Linked DNA regions of Caenorhabditis elegans. The protein of the gene in region 3 purifies or fractionates together with the protein of the main gene of each other region. This does not show direct contact. Each region holds a gene or a part of one and is shown on either strand. Other genes may lie near its edges.

What was found.
Region 1: the proteins of cpr-1 (region 3) and lys-4 fractionate together in Caenorhabditis elegans (co-fractionation; one large-scale study listed by BioGRID). This does not show direct contact.
Region 2: the proteins of cpr-1 (region 3) and F42A10.6 fractionate together in Caenorhabditis elegans (co-fractionation; one large-scale study listed by BioGRID). This does not show direct contact.
Region 4: the proteins of cpr-1 (region 3) and pfn-1 fractionate together in Caenorhabditis elegans (co-fractionation; one large-scale study listed by BioGRID). This does not show direct contact.

What each region holds. Positions count from the first base shown.
Region 1 is NC_003282.8:11,620,867-11,625,119, forward strand, and holds lys-4 (LYSozyme), read right to left. Parts: upstream 2,309-4,253; 5' UTR 2,233-2,308; coding exon 2,031-2,232; intron 1,440-2,030; exon of another isoform or gene 1,419-1,439; intron 1,073-1,418; coding exon 630-1,072; 3' UTR 563-629; downstream 1-562. Other genes in the region: dsl-5 (Delta-like protein), read right to left, coding at 22-72; lys-5 (Lysozyme-like protein 5), read right to left, coding at 3,430-3,872.
Region 2 is NC_003281.10:6,175,656-6,178,442, forward strand, and holds F42A10.6 (MD-2-related lipid-recognition domain-containing protein), read right to left. Parts: upstream 1,207-2,787; coding exon 1,056-1,206; intron 1,009-1,055; coding exon 843-1,008; intron 798-842; coding exon 683-797; intron 638-682; coding exon 539-637; 3' UTR 502-538; downstream 1-501. Other genes in the region: abcf-3 (ABC transporter domain-containing protein), read left to right, coding at 1-56, 157-397; F42A10.7 (MD-2-related lipid-recognition domain-containing protein), read right to left, coding at 2,360-2,570, 2,670-2,787.
Region 3 is NC_003283.11:11,973,533-11,977,290, reverse strand, and holds cpr-1 (Gut-specific cysteine proteinase), read right to left. Parts: upstream 1,741-3,758; 5' UTR 1,712-1,740; coding exon 1,709-1,711; intron 1,627-1,708; coding exon 963-1,626; intron 917-962; coding exon 594-916; 3' UTR 535-593; downstream 1-534. Other genes in the region: MIF-like protein mif-2, read left to right, coding at 143-241, 334-414. UniProt on the Caenorhabditis elegans protein: Thiol protease. Has a role as a digestive enzyme.
Region 4 is NC_003279.8:12,920,440-12,924,069, forward strand, and holds pfn-1 (Profilin-1), read left to right. Parts: upstream 1-1,564; 5' UTR 1,565-1,600; coding exon 1,601-1,726; intron 1,727-2,570; coding exon 2,571-2,843; 3' UTR 2,844-3,109; downstream 3,110-3,630. UniProt on the Caenorhabditis elegans protein: Binds to actin and affects the structure of the cytoskeleton. At high concentrations, profilin prevents the polymerization of actin, whereas it enhances it at low concentrations. By binding to PIP2, it inhibits the formation of IP3 and DG.

The DNA.
Region 1 (4,253 bases), on a different chromosome or scaffold from region 3:
CAGTGGTTCAAAAAATCTCACCGATTCAATAATAAAAGTTATAAATAAGAAAGAAATCGCAAGAAGTTGCATGTTGAAATGTTGATAATGAGATGGAGAAACAAAAAAACAAGACTAAATATTTGTACTCGTCAACTTTAATTTTGATTCGATTGAGGTCAATTGTGTAATTCAAGGTTACCCCAAGTGACGTCATCACTACGCATTTTGACTTGACAACGTGTCTAGAAGATCAACAACATAATAGTTTTGAAAGAAAAGAGAACAAAAATTTAAGTTTTACCGTATCTGCTTTTTGAAATGTAAAGCCATTTTGATGTTACTATTTTGGCCGAAACTCACTTGAAACTCACAGGTCTAGATTTAAAAAAATAGAAAACAATTCTGAATGAGAATATAATTAAAGTCTCCGAACAATAATGATAAATTTTTTAAATAAGTAACAAAAAATTATTGAAAATAAAACATAATTTTCGAATGTTCTAAAACTGACCCATTTGTTGTCAGTTTTACAGTTTTAAATTGTTTCAAAAAATCAAGAAATCAATTGCGCGTCTGAAACTAGCGAAAATGTATGGGTTTACATATAAAAATTTGTTTATTCATGTTTATACATTTTGGTCAGCTATTTATGGAACATAGTTCATATCAACAGAGACTCCACATGGGCCAGTAGTGGTTCCTTCCCATTGATGAATTGTTGGTCTGCTCCATCCTCCGAAAGGTGCGAACTTTGAGAAATCCTTAATTCCATCATAGGTTGCCCACCAGAGCATCAAACTAGATTGTCCATGATAATCCAATCCAACAATATCTTGCCAATTGTAATAGTTACTGTAGATTCCAACTTGTTGCTTGTAAGCTTGAGCTTCTCTGACCATTGCCTCGATGAATGCACGGTTACTGGCGTGATTAGCTGGCCAAGCGAGACGTTCAATGTCAAGCCAGAGAGTAGAGACATGAGTTCCTGCACTCTTCAAAGCATCAAGAGTTTCCTTAACTTGATTGGCAGCAGATGGGCAGTTAGATCTCAAGCATGGGAAGATGTATCCATCGACATCGGTGAGGCCAGCTGCAAAATTTGTAATTAGCTTGGTACTGAATGAAACTTGTAGAAAACTTCAGATGTTTTAATAAATTGGAATATTATCAGTTTGAATGTTCGAACCCGTACAATGCTTATAATTGACTTGGAATACTATAAAGCTCATCCTTATGATCTGATTATTCCAACTTAAAGTGATCATAAGGGCCCCCTTACGGTCTCAATATTCAGCTCAAAAGGATCATATGATTAGTTATGGTTGAAAAAATTTTCACCTAAAACTTTTCTTTTGGAAGTTTTTCCAAAATGTTTAATTTTTTAGAAAAGCATAATTGTGGTAGTCCCTACAAGTTTGAACATTCATATTACATTTTCAGTCGAACCATCACCTAAATTGGAATTTTCTGCTATTCTGGACAATAATACTTAGAAAGAAACTGTAATTTTTTTTTTCATTTTTTAGTTTCAAGAGGTAATATATTGTTTCACTCACTAGATGCATTGTATGTATACTTGTAAAACATATTAAAGAGCAAGATTAGTTTAAATTTTGAATTCTATATTCAACCTATTGACAAATATATTTGAATATTATTATTTTTCCATACTCTGTTTACAATCATGTGACAATGCATGCCCTGGTAAACTAGACAGTCAGAGGGGACAATGAATGGTTGTAAAACGTAACGAAAAGATATTTCATTGACCACTACATCTTGACTTTTGGGAATATGTGTATTTGAATTATTTGATGGCAGTTTTTAAACAAACAAAAAGAAATAAGAAAAAGAGATAAGATTTTGTTAGTTTAAGTATTTTCTTACAAATTTAATACTCATAACTTATACTAGGAAGTATGCACAGACCTATAAGTTAGAAGTGTGAGGCGAAGAATCGCGAGGGAAAGGAGAACCAAATTGCCAAGAATGGAAATTATTTTGAAAATGGTAAAAACCATTCCTTGATACCCATCTGAAATGCTCACCTGCTCTAGCATTCTTGACGTTTTGAATTCCAGTATGATCAAGAGTTCCAACAGAAGTAAAGACTCTTGGAATTACGAAAGAATATCCAGCCTTATGAATACATTGAAATGTAGCAGTAGACACTGGTTGAATGAAATCAATTCCATTTCTAGCTGCACTTGCAGCACCGATCAAAAGCAAAGCCGAGACGAAGAACTTCATGATTCTCTGAACTCCCCTGATTAAGCCTTCACACACTTCTTTTATACTTCCCAAATACCGGAGATTCTAATTTTATGACTTTGACGCAAGCGGAAAGATAAAATCAAAAACTTCATAAACCCTCTTCTCTTATCTTTTTTGTTTTATTCAGAGGCTGATGTAAAATATGAAACAAAATATGGAGAGCAACTACACTTTCGTCTCATTTTCGAAAATATTTCTCGGGGTTTCTCGACCGTTATCTCTCGTCGTTTTTCAATATTTGCAACAATGAGATCAAAAGAACTAAAATTGAAACCTTCGACCCTCCCGAGTACTGTATTATTTCTACAAGCTAATGGTCCCGGCAGCAGGCTTGTGCGTGGTTTGTTGGCGTTGCCTAAATTAACACTAAAGAAATTATCAATTTTTCAATCCAAACATTGTGAAATTCATTGTTTATCTGTAAATTTTTTGAAGTTTATACAGTTTATTGAAAATAACTTAATTAATCTGTTTGGAAGCGTGAAAAGCTGAGAAAACATAAGGTGCTTAAAGTTAGATGCTTGAAAACGTGATTATGTTCTTGATTTGTTCCCTGCTTCAGATCACAGGTCGGCTGTGACCTAGAAAGCTTTTGAGCTCATGACTTATTCTCTTTGACGGTACATCTTCCTAAAAAATACCGGGAATTGTATTAAAAGTCATTAGCCGATTTTCAGATGATTTCAAATATACCGAGTTTTCTGAAAACCCAACTCCCCAATGTGTTTTATTTTTCGATTAGCAATTTGAACTTCGCACATTAGACTACATTATCAACCTTTTTGCTTCGTCTATCATTATTTGATTGCACGTGATTTCTGCTACCGACGATGGCATCAAAATGTGATCAATTGACGAAATACTCCACAAAAATTGATAATAACGTACATGCCTCATTTGCGTACTGTATCATTCCTTAAGGAATTCCTCAATAATTATTGCAGAAATTATTATAAAAGTTGGAATAGACTTTCTAGTAGTTTCAAAATAAAAATTAGTCATCGAAAACTGAATTTCCTTATTAAATTTCAAGTAATTTTCGATGCTTTTCAGATTACTTTGAATTGCTCGGAGCAATTCTCAAACGTTATTAAAGGAATGAATAAATCATAATAATGAACGAATGTTGTTTACTGAAATATACACTTTATTATTAAAGCGCTAAAAAATTATTTATGGAATGTAGTTCATATCAACAGAGACTCCACACGGACCAGTAGTGGTGTCAGACCACTGATGAATTGTTGGCTTCGACCATCCTCCGAATGGAGCGTACTTTGAGAAATCCTTGACTCCATCGTATGCAGGCCACCAAAGCATCAAACTAGATTGTCCATGATAATCCAATCCAACAATATCTTGCCAATTGTAATAGTTACTGTAGATTCCAACTTGTTGTCCATAAGCCTTTGCTTCACTGACCATTGCTTCAATGAATGCACGGTTGCTAGCATGATCAGCTGGCCAATTGAGACGTTCAATATCAAGCCATAGAGTGGAGATCTTAGTTCCAGCAGCCTTAACTGCATCAAGAGACGCCTTAACTTGGTTAGCAGCAGATGCGCAAGTCGATTTTAGGCAAGGGAAGATGTATCCATCGACATCAGTGAGGCCAGCTGCAACAGTGTTTTAAAAATCAAACAACTTCTAGCTACACTGGGAGTCTACAGTAACCATTAAGCCTCTTTGAAAATTTAAACAGTATACCCGGAAGTTATCTTCATACTTTTGATTTCACTAATTTTGAAACTTTCGAATTCTCACGTTACCATTTGAAGCCTCATTTGAACTCACTGACCGTAATCTAATAGGAGTTTCGACTCTTGGCGTTAACAATAGTTTTGCATAATAGTTTTGCATTTTTGACAGATAATGTTTCTATTATAATTAAAATGAAGTTACCTTTCTATAGACATAATTTAAATATTTTTAGCTCGAAAATTTTAATATGTAATATTTCCTCTATTAGTCTTGCATCCCATTGTTCAACTTTGACA
Region 2 (2,787 bases), on a different chromosome or scaffold from region 3:
ACACTTTCTGGAGGTCAAAAGTCTCGATTGGCATTTGCTAATTTAGCCTTGATGCAGTGAGTTTTGCTTGAAAATAGCAACATTTTCAAAAAATATTCATTTTTTCCTAGAAAAAAAAATTTATTCAAACTCCGTCTAATTCATAGTATTTTTCAGGCCAAACTACTTGATTCTTGACGAGCCTACTAATCACTTGGATGTCGAAACGGTTGAAGCTCTTGGAAAAGCGCTTAATGTTTTCAATGGAGGTGTCGTTTTAGTTTCTCACGACGAGCAACTCATCGAGCTTGTGTGCAAGGAACTTTGGGTTGTGAAGGATCGAATGGTGACAACTTTGGAGGGAGGACTCGAAGAATACAGAAAGCAAGTCTACAAGCAGCTTCAACTCACTGCCTAAATTTTTCCTGTTTTGTTTCGCATTCGGTTGTTTCCCATATTTCACCCAGTTTCCACGTTTTGTTACACTATTTAAGAATTCAATTTATAATTTTTGTTGAGAAAAAAGTTTATTGCTTTATTAAATTGTTCACTTCAAAATTTAAGTATGAGTGAGAGCTCTAGCCTGGAAAATAATGCAAAGGTCTTCCTTGCTCGGGTCATCATGAAGAAGATACTCGAGTTGGTAAGGCTTATCGTTCTGAAATTGGGGGTTTAACTTTCGAAGAATACACATCAAAATAACCTTGAGAAGATTGATGATAGCTGGAGTATCAGAGAAGTCGAGTTCCAAATTGATGACCTTGTTTTTCGGTTCAATTGGGCATGGTACTCCGTTGGTACAAGCATCGATGTTGTTCCTGGAAAAGGTTACTGTAGGTTACTGTAAGAAGCAAAAATCTTACAAAAGTCCAAAAGTTGGTACTGAAGACCATCCACAAGTAGCCATATTCCATGACCAGACCTTGATAGTTTGTTTAAGTCCAGGAGTAGTATAAGTTGAGGATGGATCATTGATGGATGTTGCAATGAGAAGTGGTTCAGTAAGACGGATTGGATATTCACTGTTACCTGGATTCAATTATACATTCGTAGAAACTATCAGAAAACTTGCGAACCACTCTTATCAGTTGGATTAACATTGGTCACCATAACTGGTCCATTTGAGCATTGCCACCAGTTGACCTTTGTCTCTGTAGTATTCGGCCATTGATCGCATGCCGACGAGAGAGCAAGTAGGGCGAAGAGACACAGACAACGAGCAAGCATCTGGAATTGAAGTAGAATTTTTCGTTTCGAAAGCTAGTGGATGTGATCTAAGTTGGAATAAAATAGTGAATCTGTAATTGGTTAACTGGGAAATTTGAGAAAATGGAAAACTAAATTGCAAAATGATCATCAAATTCGATAGGAAAAACTACGATAAGAGAAATATCAAAGCACATGGCAATTTGAAGAAACCACGCGTTTTAATAGTTTTTTGCATGTAATTGTGATTCTAGAATAAAAAAGAGGTCACAGAGAACCGGAAATATCCACAGGAAGTACTCATTTTCATTGAAAAAATTTCATATGTATATTGAGTATTCCTGAGAAATGCACCTTTCGAAGTCTCGCCACGATTGAAAATTTTGCTCACTCGTGCTATGCGCCTTTAAAACTTGGGTACCATACATTTTTATTTTTCATTACTTTGTTCAGCAACTTTAGCTTTATCAGCGTCTTAATATTACGTAGACGTCAGAAGATGAGAGTTTCCGTCATAATTTACGCAAATGGGTCTCGCCACGCGGAAAGCGGGTTACTGTAACACGTGTCAATATGAAGGCCGCTACTGCACCATGTTTTTCTAATACAATGAATAACTGATTCCAAGCTTTTTAAAATAAAATTATGATACAATGGAGGCCTAAGAAATTGACGCGTGGTAAAGTAACTCGTTGTACTCATAAGATATGAAGAAAATTTTCATTTTTGACGTCTATGCGATTTTTATATTCTTCTTCTATTTTGATCATTAAATCCGATGAATTGAAGGAAAGACAAAGTTTTAAAAAACCTGTGCAAGCACGTATTCTTCATACTTCCAACTTTAGGTACTTATTGAAATTTCTCAGTTTTCAAACTATAACTGAATCGGGAAATTATTAATAATTTCTGATTCCTTGTTTACTTGTTTGATTTTTGGTTCATTGCCAAAATGGCAAATATGCAACATTTTCCAGTGCGAATAGTTCTTTTTTATCAAAATGTTATCGCAACTTTAGTTCGATTTCGGAAATTTTTCCTTCAAATTGATAATGAACAAAAACCAACAAAAAGTCAAGATTATGTACATTTTATTGTTGTTAAAATATACGCCCGTGTTATAGTGCAAATATAATTAGAAATCTTAAAGCCAATCGCCAAATGGGAAAGCATTTTACTTAAGGAAGGCCCAAGCCTGGACCATCATGCATGAGGTGTCTCCGGATTGGTTGTCGTGAAGGATGTACTCGAGTTGATATGGCTGATTGTCCTTGAGTAAGGCGATGATTTGGTCGAACTTGGTGAAGTCAATGATGACGTCAAGTTCTTGGTTTCCTGGACGGACTGGGCATGGGACTCCGTTTGCGCAGGCGTCAAGGTCCTTCCTGGAAGATGAATCGTTATTTATTATTTAGAAGTCGAGAATAGCCTAAACAGTTCACCCATTCTAATCCATTAGAATTAACTTAAAGATATAAACTTACAAAAGACCGAGAGTTGGGATTGAGCTCCATGTGCATCCGTTCCATCCTCCATACTTCCAGATATTGACGGTGTTACGAAGATTTGGCGACACATATGTGCTCGTTGGGTTATTGATTT
Region 3 (3,758 bases):
TCCAAAAGTAACACCTTGGTAAACCAAAACCTTTAAAACTACATTTAAGTTCCTTGTTACACTTAGAAAGGAAATTAAAACTTTATGAAACCATCCTTTTTCTGGCAGAAGTTCAAAATTCTCGCAATAATAAATTCTTTAGATCAAATCAATCGGAGCAGTGTCTGCTGAAGACAATATTCGCAATACGGCAGCCATCACTGAGTTTTGTGGAAAGGAATTGGGTCTTCCAAAAGATAAGGTAAGTGTAGTTTATGTCAAACATTTAAGTCACAAATATTTCGTTATGTTTTATTAATCAAACAATGGATTATTGATATTTCAAAATTTCAGGTTGTTATCACATTCCACGACTTACCACCAGCTACGGTAGGGTTCAACGGTACAACTGTCGCCGAAGCAAATAAGAAATAATTTTTGATGTCAGTTGTTCATAATGTGACTAGATTAATTTTGATTTCATGCACTTTTGTAATTGCTCTTCGTAAATTTTAATAAAGATATATATATTTCAGAAGATTTAAGAACAAATTTAAATTATGAACATTTTTATTTGGCAGATGGTAATTACAAAAATTGTGTACATAATGCATTTAGACCTTGGCCTTTCCGGCGACAACTGCTGATTCAATTCCGCATTGATCATCTCCACGGTAGATCTTGAAGAAACCGCTCTCTCCCCAGTTAACTCCCCATGAGTTGGCAACAAGCCAGTATGGAGATCCGCTCTCAGTTCCCCATCCGATGATCTTAATGGCGTGTCCTCCGAGGTACTTTCCGGCGGTGTGCTTGTAAACTCCGCTCTTGTATTTGTAGAAGTCTTCGTAAACAGAGAATGCAGCCTCAACTGGTCCATTAGCGTAGATTTCAGCTTGGATGGATGCAGCATTCTTTGGAACAGCGTAGGCAGAGACTCCTGAAATAATATAATTATTCCACAATTCTATGTAATTTTTACAAACCGAAGTGCTTGTCCTTGGCGTAGGCAGTTGAATATCCAGATTGGCAGCTCATTGAGCAAGATGGAGTCTTGGATTCTGGGCAGTTTCCAGATGTGCATGGGGCAATTGGGTATGGTTTGCATCCAGCTCCGTGGTAGTCTCCACCAGTAACAACTCCCTTTGAGTCCCACCATCTGAGAGCTTGAATTGGGTATCCTCCTTCACATCCATTTCCGCAGGAAGATCCGCAGCAGGAGAGAAGATCATCTGGAGAGATGATTGGTTGTTGGGCTCCCTTGGTCTCAATGCAGGTACGGTCAGAGATCATCTCAGCTGCTCCGAAAGCCCAGCAGGATCCACAGGTGGCTTGGTCACGGATAAGCTTGATGGACTTGCACTCGGACCATTGGGTACGAGAATCGAAGGTGGCTGGGACAGAGGCGAGAACAACTTCTTGTTCGGTGGCACGGATTTCATCGGAGTGGGCAGCAGCGTACTTTCCATCCATAAGCTTGAATTTCATCTCCTCCTCGGTAATCTCAACATGCTCAGTCTTGAACAAAGATTGAGCTGAGTTGACATAATCAACAAGAGCCTGACCGGTGAGGGTCTCAACAGCCGATTGATGATTGATTGGGACAAAGGCAAGCGTGACTGCGCAGAGCGCGGTAAGGATAAGGAACTTCTGAAATGTCAAGATGAATGCCAAATTAAAAATCGAAAGTAATTTTTATTTGAAATTTCCTAACTAGAAATCAAAGACTTACCATATTTGTTGAAAGAAGTTGAGCGATAAGCTGCCTTCTTTACCGCACGTCTCCCTTATATACCATTTTACAATGTCTTATCAATCTTCCGATTCTGTGGTTTTCTCTAGTTCTTGACGTCGAAAAGCTTCGTACCAGTGCTCAGTGCTCACGTGCTGCCCTTCCTTTTCTTCTTATCAGTATTTGATCGGTAATTCGGAACTGATTTAGGAGAGCATCTGAACCGGAATTCATCTGTGATACCAATTCATTAAAAGGAATTCAGTGAAATTTTCTAGTTTCTGCAAACCGAACTTGGGAACAAAAAACGCGACTTCCGATCTATAATCTGTCAAAAAGTTTCCCGGCAACACGAAACACAGTCAACAGAATTATGGCTGGATTACGGTAGGTTTCTGATAATAAACTTCATTTCAGTGTAAATGTCGGCAGTGCTCACAATTTCTTCGTTTACTTAGGAATAATTATTTCTTCACATGACCTTTCCTTTTAGTAAAACACACTTTTTATCGTAGGCATTATAAGATCAAAAGTGTATTACTCAATGCACGGCGAGAATATCAAATGTTTGAAACAGAAAAATTGGTTACATGTTTAAATTAATAAAATATATTTAAATGTTCCCTGATTTTCGAAAACACATATTTTCCCACCAGGATTATGAGCTTTCGTCACAACTTTTGAAACAAAAAATTAATTATCCAAATGAAAAGGAAGTTGAAAAAAGTCACGTACATTCATCCCGTTTCCCCACTTTTTCATTGACTCCATGTCTTTTCATGATGAGATCATTTTGCAATTGATACATTTTCTATCTATTTCAGTAAAACAAAAAGTAGATATTTGAACGATAAGTTCAAGAATAGTTATTCAATGTAATGAGAATTGCAACTCTACAAAAATTTCCACAGGATAACTCGTCAAAAATAATAACTTTTTTGGACGTTAAAATCACATTGTTTTTTCTATACATATATTATGTCTAGACCGAGGACCTATTGAATTTTTACGTCCAAAATTAAACGCTCGTTGAAAGATTTGATGCTGAAAATCATTAAAAAATATTTCAAAAGTTTTTAGAATATTCAAACTTGATATGTCTACTGAGTTTTTTAAAAAACTATTTCAAATTTCTTCCAATGGTGCTAAAATCATCTTTAAAATTTTAAGTCAAGTGAGTGGAAAATACTTACTTTTGACCTATCATAGTTTTGGAAGTCTGCCAAAAATGTTTTACAAGTTTTATATTTTGTTTGCAATTTGTATTCAAATAGGCTTAGCATATGAGGCACGTTTATCAATGAGTCCAAATCTTTCAAAAATTGGTATTTACCAAATTTACGACGAAAATTGTGAAAACTCTTGAAAGAATGTATTTATTTTTTTCATTATTTTTAACCTAGGTTGAAGATATTTTGACAACACCCCAACTGGAGCTACTCCTACTCCTGCTGCTCCTGCTACTGTTTTAAAATAAGTATTGTAGGTTAAACTTTCAGAAATTTCACAAGGCGGAACAAAATTCGAAAACAAATCTTTTCCACAACCGATTTCCTGCTTCTAATCTTAGCAACTTGACATCTCCCTTCCCAACATTTTCTCTCTTGCAATTTGCTTTTCATTCATTTTTTGTTCTGCTCCGTCCCTTCAAAACTCTCGACAACCCACAATGGCAACCCCACGCGGAGCATTGTTCTGAACTATTCGAGCTGAATCGACGACTTTTTTGGGTCGACCACCAACTCATTTACAAGAAAATAATAAATGACGAGGTTTTTATATACATTCAATGGGTTTATAAAGTGAATCCATCTGAACATAAAGTCAATGAAAAACCAATTATCAGCTACTGGAACCATAATTATAAACTTGGTGAGGTTGTGTAAAGTATTCAATCAACTATTTAATTTTTTGCAAGTGTATAATAGTTTTGGTGAGTGGTTGAACTTTTGAGGATAATTGAGGGGTTGGGTGACGTGAAGCAATATCACAGTTTAAACGGGAAGGTTAGAAAAAAGGAGAAAAATGAAATCAACTGAACACCTCAAAT
Region 4 (3,630 bases), on a different chromosome or scaffold from region 3:
AAATCCGGCCAATGCTACGAAATTTCTGTTTTTCGCGGCTCTTTTGACTATTTCGTGACTTTTTTGGGGCTTCGATCATCAAAATTTCGAATATTTTTATGATTTTTGAGCATTTTGATGTATTTTTTTTCTTCTAAATGACTTTCAGATCTCCTTGGCAGAAAAAACTGCGAATATTATAACAACTTGAAGCTTCCTCGACGATTTTTGGCGACCTGCTGTTCCATGTGACTCACCATTCCAATTTCGCAATCCACTGGTCATTCTCGGCATTAAGATCCATTTTCAGCGCTCAATTTCGCAATTTTCAAAGCTAGAAAGCTTTGTTCAAATTGAATTGTTTCGCAACTCGTCTTCTATCGCCTTTTGGTTCTCTTTCTCCTCCGTCGTCTTCGCTGTGTTCTCTTCAAAATGATTCATCATTGGCTTTGGTTGTGTCTCTGGGTCTGTGTGTTCAATATAAATTGCAACTGCATTTGACATTAGTATGGATTGAGGCGGGTTATTTCACCCTCTTTTAGTAGTACACACACATTCAATTTGATGGGCGGTCTCTGTCTCTCTTTTCGTCCTTTATGGGTGAATAACTGACCAGCGGAGCAAGCAGGCAGGAGCAGGAGCACAAGCTCGTTGTTCGGGTTGAAAAGGGGAAGAAGGAGAGCACCAGATGGCATGCAAACATTCTCTTTCTCTTCTTCTCTCTATTGCTTTTCCTCACTGTCATTCACTGCTTCTCCATTTGCCCAGCCAATTAGATGGAGTGTTCCGGGTGGTCAAAGATGTCCTCTAGTTTTCGTAGCAATTTTCATCTTTCGGAATTTGAAATTGGAAGTTTTCTTTAATTTCTCTCAATTTTGGGTCATCTGGCGATTTTATGCCATTTTTCTTGTGAAATTAAATTCTCAGATTGCTCTAGATAGTTCAAATCCTCTAGTAGTTGAAAATTCGCCTCAAAACGTTGCTTTTTTAAAAAGAATTCTCCCTTAAGTTGGTCCTAATTTCTCGAGGCGAGATCTTCCAAAAGCTGAATTTTTCCAAGTTTTCTACATCTGAAACTCGAAATATTTACTATTTTCGTAGTTTTTGGTAGTTTTCGGTGTTTTCGAGCTTCAATTCCGCCTTTTTGGCCTGAAAATGGTCTGAAAATCATCGAAAATTGGTCAACTCTAGGTAAAATGCCAATTTTGGTTTAAATCGGCTCAATTCACAGAAAATTTCCAAGAAATTCATGAAAGAAGCTCAATTTTTGCACTACATTGGCGAGAAAATTGTGAATTTAGTGAGATTTTGTTGGTTTTTGTCATTTTATCCATTCGCAAGTTCTTCGCCACCAACTTACACCACAGATAAGCAAAAAATCTGCGGAAATATCAATTTTTGGGTATTTCGGCATTAAAATTCCATTTTTTGCGCAGTAAATCAAAAAATAATCGATTGTTTACAAAAACCGTAATTTTCAAGCGATTTTATGCTCTTTTTCTCCTAATTTGTGCTCTTTCTTCATATTATCATTTCTCATTACCCCTCCAACCATCTCAATCATAATTTATGTTTATTTTTTCAGTATAATCTCCGCTTCAACCTCCTCCAAAACACAAAAATGTCCGGATGGAATGCCTACATCGACACAATGACTGCCGCTGCTCCATCAATCAAACGGTGTGCAATCGTCGGAGCCGCTGATGGATCTGTCTGGGCTCGTACTGAGGCTGACAATGTGTTCAAGGTATGGAAATGGACGAAAATCATCGAAGAAGCTCGAGAAAAAATCGATTAAAACTGGAAACGATTGAAAAATCCTTAAATTGACCCATTTTTGAGATTGAAAAGAGCTAGCGGGGTCGATTTTTGTTGGAATTTTCGCATTTTGACCCAAAAAACTGAAAATCTCGCGAAATTATTCACTTTTTGAATTGAAAATCGAAATTTTTAGCCGCTGAATTTACATTTTACAGGAATAATTAGCAAATCCACTCAAAAATTGCAAAATTTTCATTATTTTTCGAACAAAATTAAAAAATTCCAGATTAGGCAGGCTTCAGGCGGCCGTGCCTGCCTACCAGCCCCTGTTTCTCATATAGTTTATACTTCTTCGAAACCCAAGTAGGCAGCAGACAGGCTTAGGCTACCTTGAAGGTCAGGCAAGTTACCTGCCTGACTACCTTCGAGGTGGCCTGCCTGATACCTACATTAGAGCCTACTTGTATTTCAGCCGCCTGAAGCCTGCCTACTCTGGAATTTTCTAAACTTTTTTTTTTCAGATTTTTCAATTTCATGAAAATTTAGAGTTAAAAAGCGTTAAAAAAAAAATTAAAATTCGAAGATTTTTTCCTGCAAAATGTAAATTCACAGACTGAAATTTGTGATTTTCCAGTATCTCGGCCAAGAATAAGCCGATTTTTTTGGAAATTTCAGTGTTTTGAGGCCTAAAAATGCGAAAATTGGGGAAAAAGGCTAACTTTAGGGTTACTGGATTTAAAATTTCGAATTTTTGGAAATTTCAAAGCGCAAATTTTTTAACAAGAAATATTTCCTGTCCAAAAACTTCTCTAATTTTTTCCAATTTCCAGGCATCCGAAGAAGAGCTCAAAACCTTCGTTGCCCTATTCAATGACGTCACTCAAGTTCCAGCAAAAGGAGCCGATATCGAAGGAGTTCATTACGTCGTTCCACGTACCGAAGAATCGCTCATCTTCGGAAAAAAGGAGAACACTGGATTCTTCGCTGTGAAGACCAAGTCTGCAGTCTTGATTGCTGTCTACGAGGGACCAAATGAAGTTGCTGCACAAGTTCGCAAGGCTGTCGAGAGTATGCAAACCTATCTCAACAATGCTGGATACTAAATACTTCTCTCTCTATCGATTGTTGTTCGATTCGTATTTATTCCCGCTTTTCTCTATTTTTTTTTTGCAAACTTCCCCCTTCTCCCTTCTCCCAAACCTTGATTTCTACGAGTACAACGATGAAATTCGGTTTTCTTCCGCGTAATCTTTCCCTCAAAACTCCCATTCCCAGAGCAAACACAGAAACAGTTTTTATTTCACTTTCAGCTTTATCATAATGTATTGTATTCCCCCGTTTTGTTTTCTAGTAAATTCATTGCCAATTCAATGCCTTCTCGATTATTTCATTTTCATCTCCCATCGACGGAGAAAGAGAGTGAGAGAAGAGTTTTGTGCTCGGAGCAATTATCGCGTGTTTTTTTCGAAACCACGCCCACACTGCAATTGTGCGGCGCGGTTTTTTGGTCAGAATCATTTTACAGATTTTTATCATCGTTTGCAAAAATCGTTTAGAGAAAAAAAACTCGGAAAAAGATGTCTAGAAAATGAGGGAAAAACAATTAAAAAGTAATCACATTTGTCAAATGAAATTTTCCACAATATCTTACGCGAATGGGTCTCGCTAGGCAGACAACACGGTTACTGTAACTCCTGTCGGTTTACAGTAACCTGTTGCCAGCGTGGCGAGACCCGTGGGAGTGAGATATGGCGGAAATTTTTATTTTTCGGCGTCTTCGTATTATTTTTTATGAGAAAACCCATAAGAGTACGTAAGAAAAAATGGCCGAAAGTTTAAGCTTTTCGAAAATATGGAATTTTTCTATATATCGGAAAATCATAAATTTTC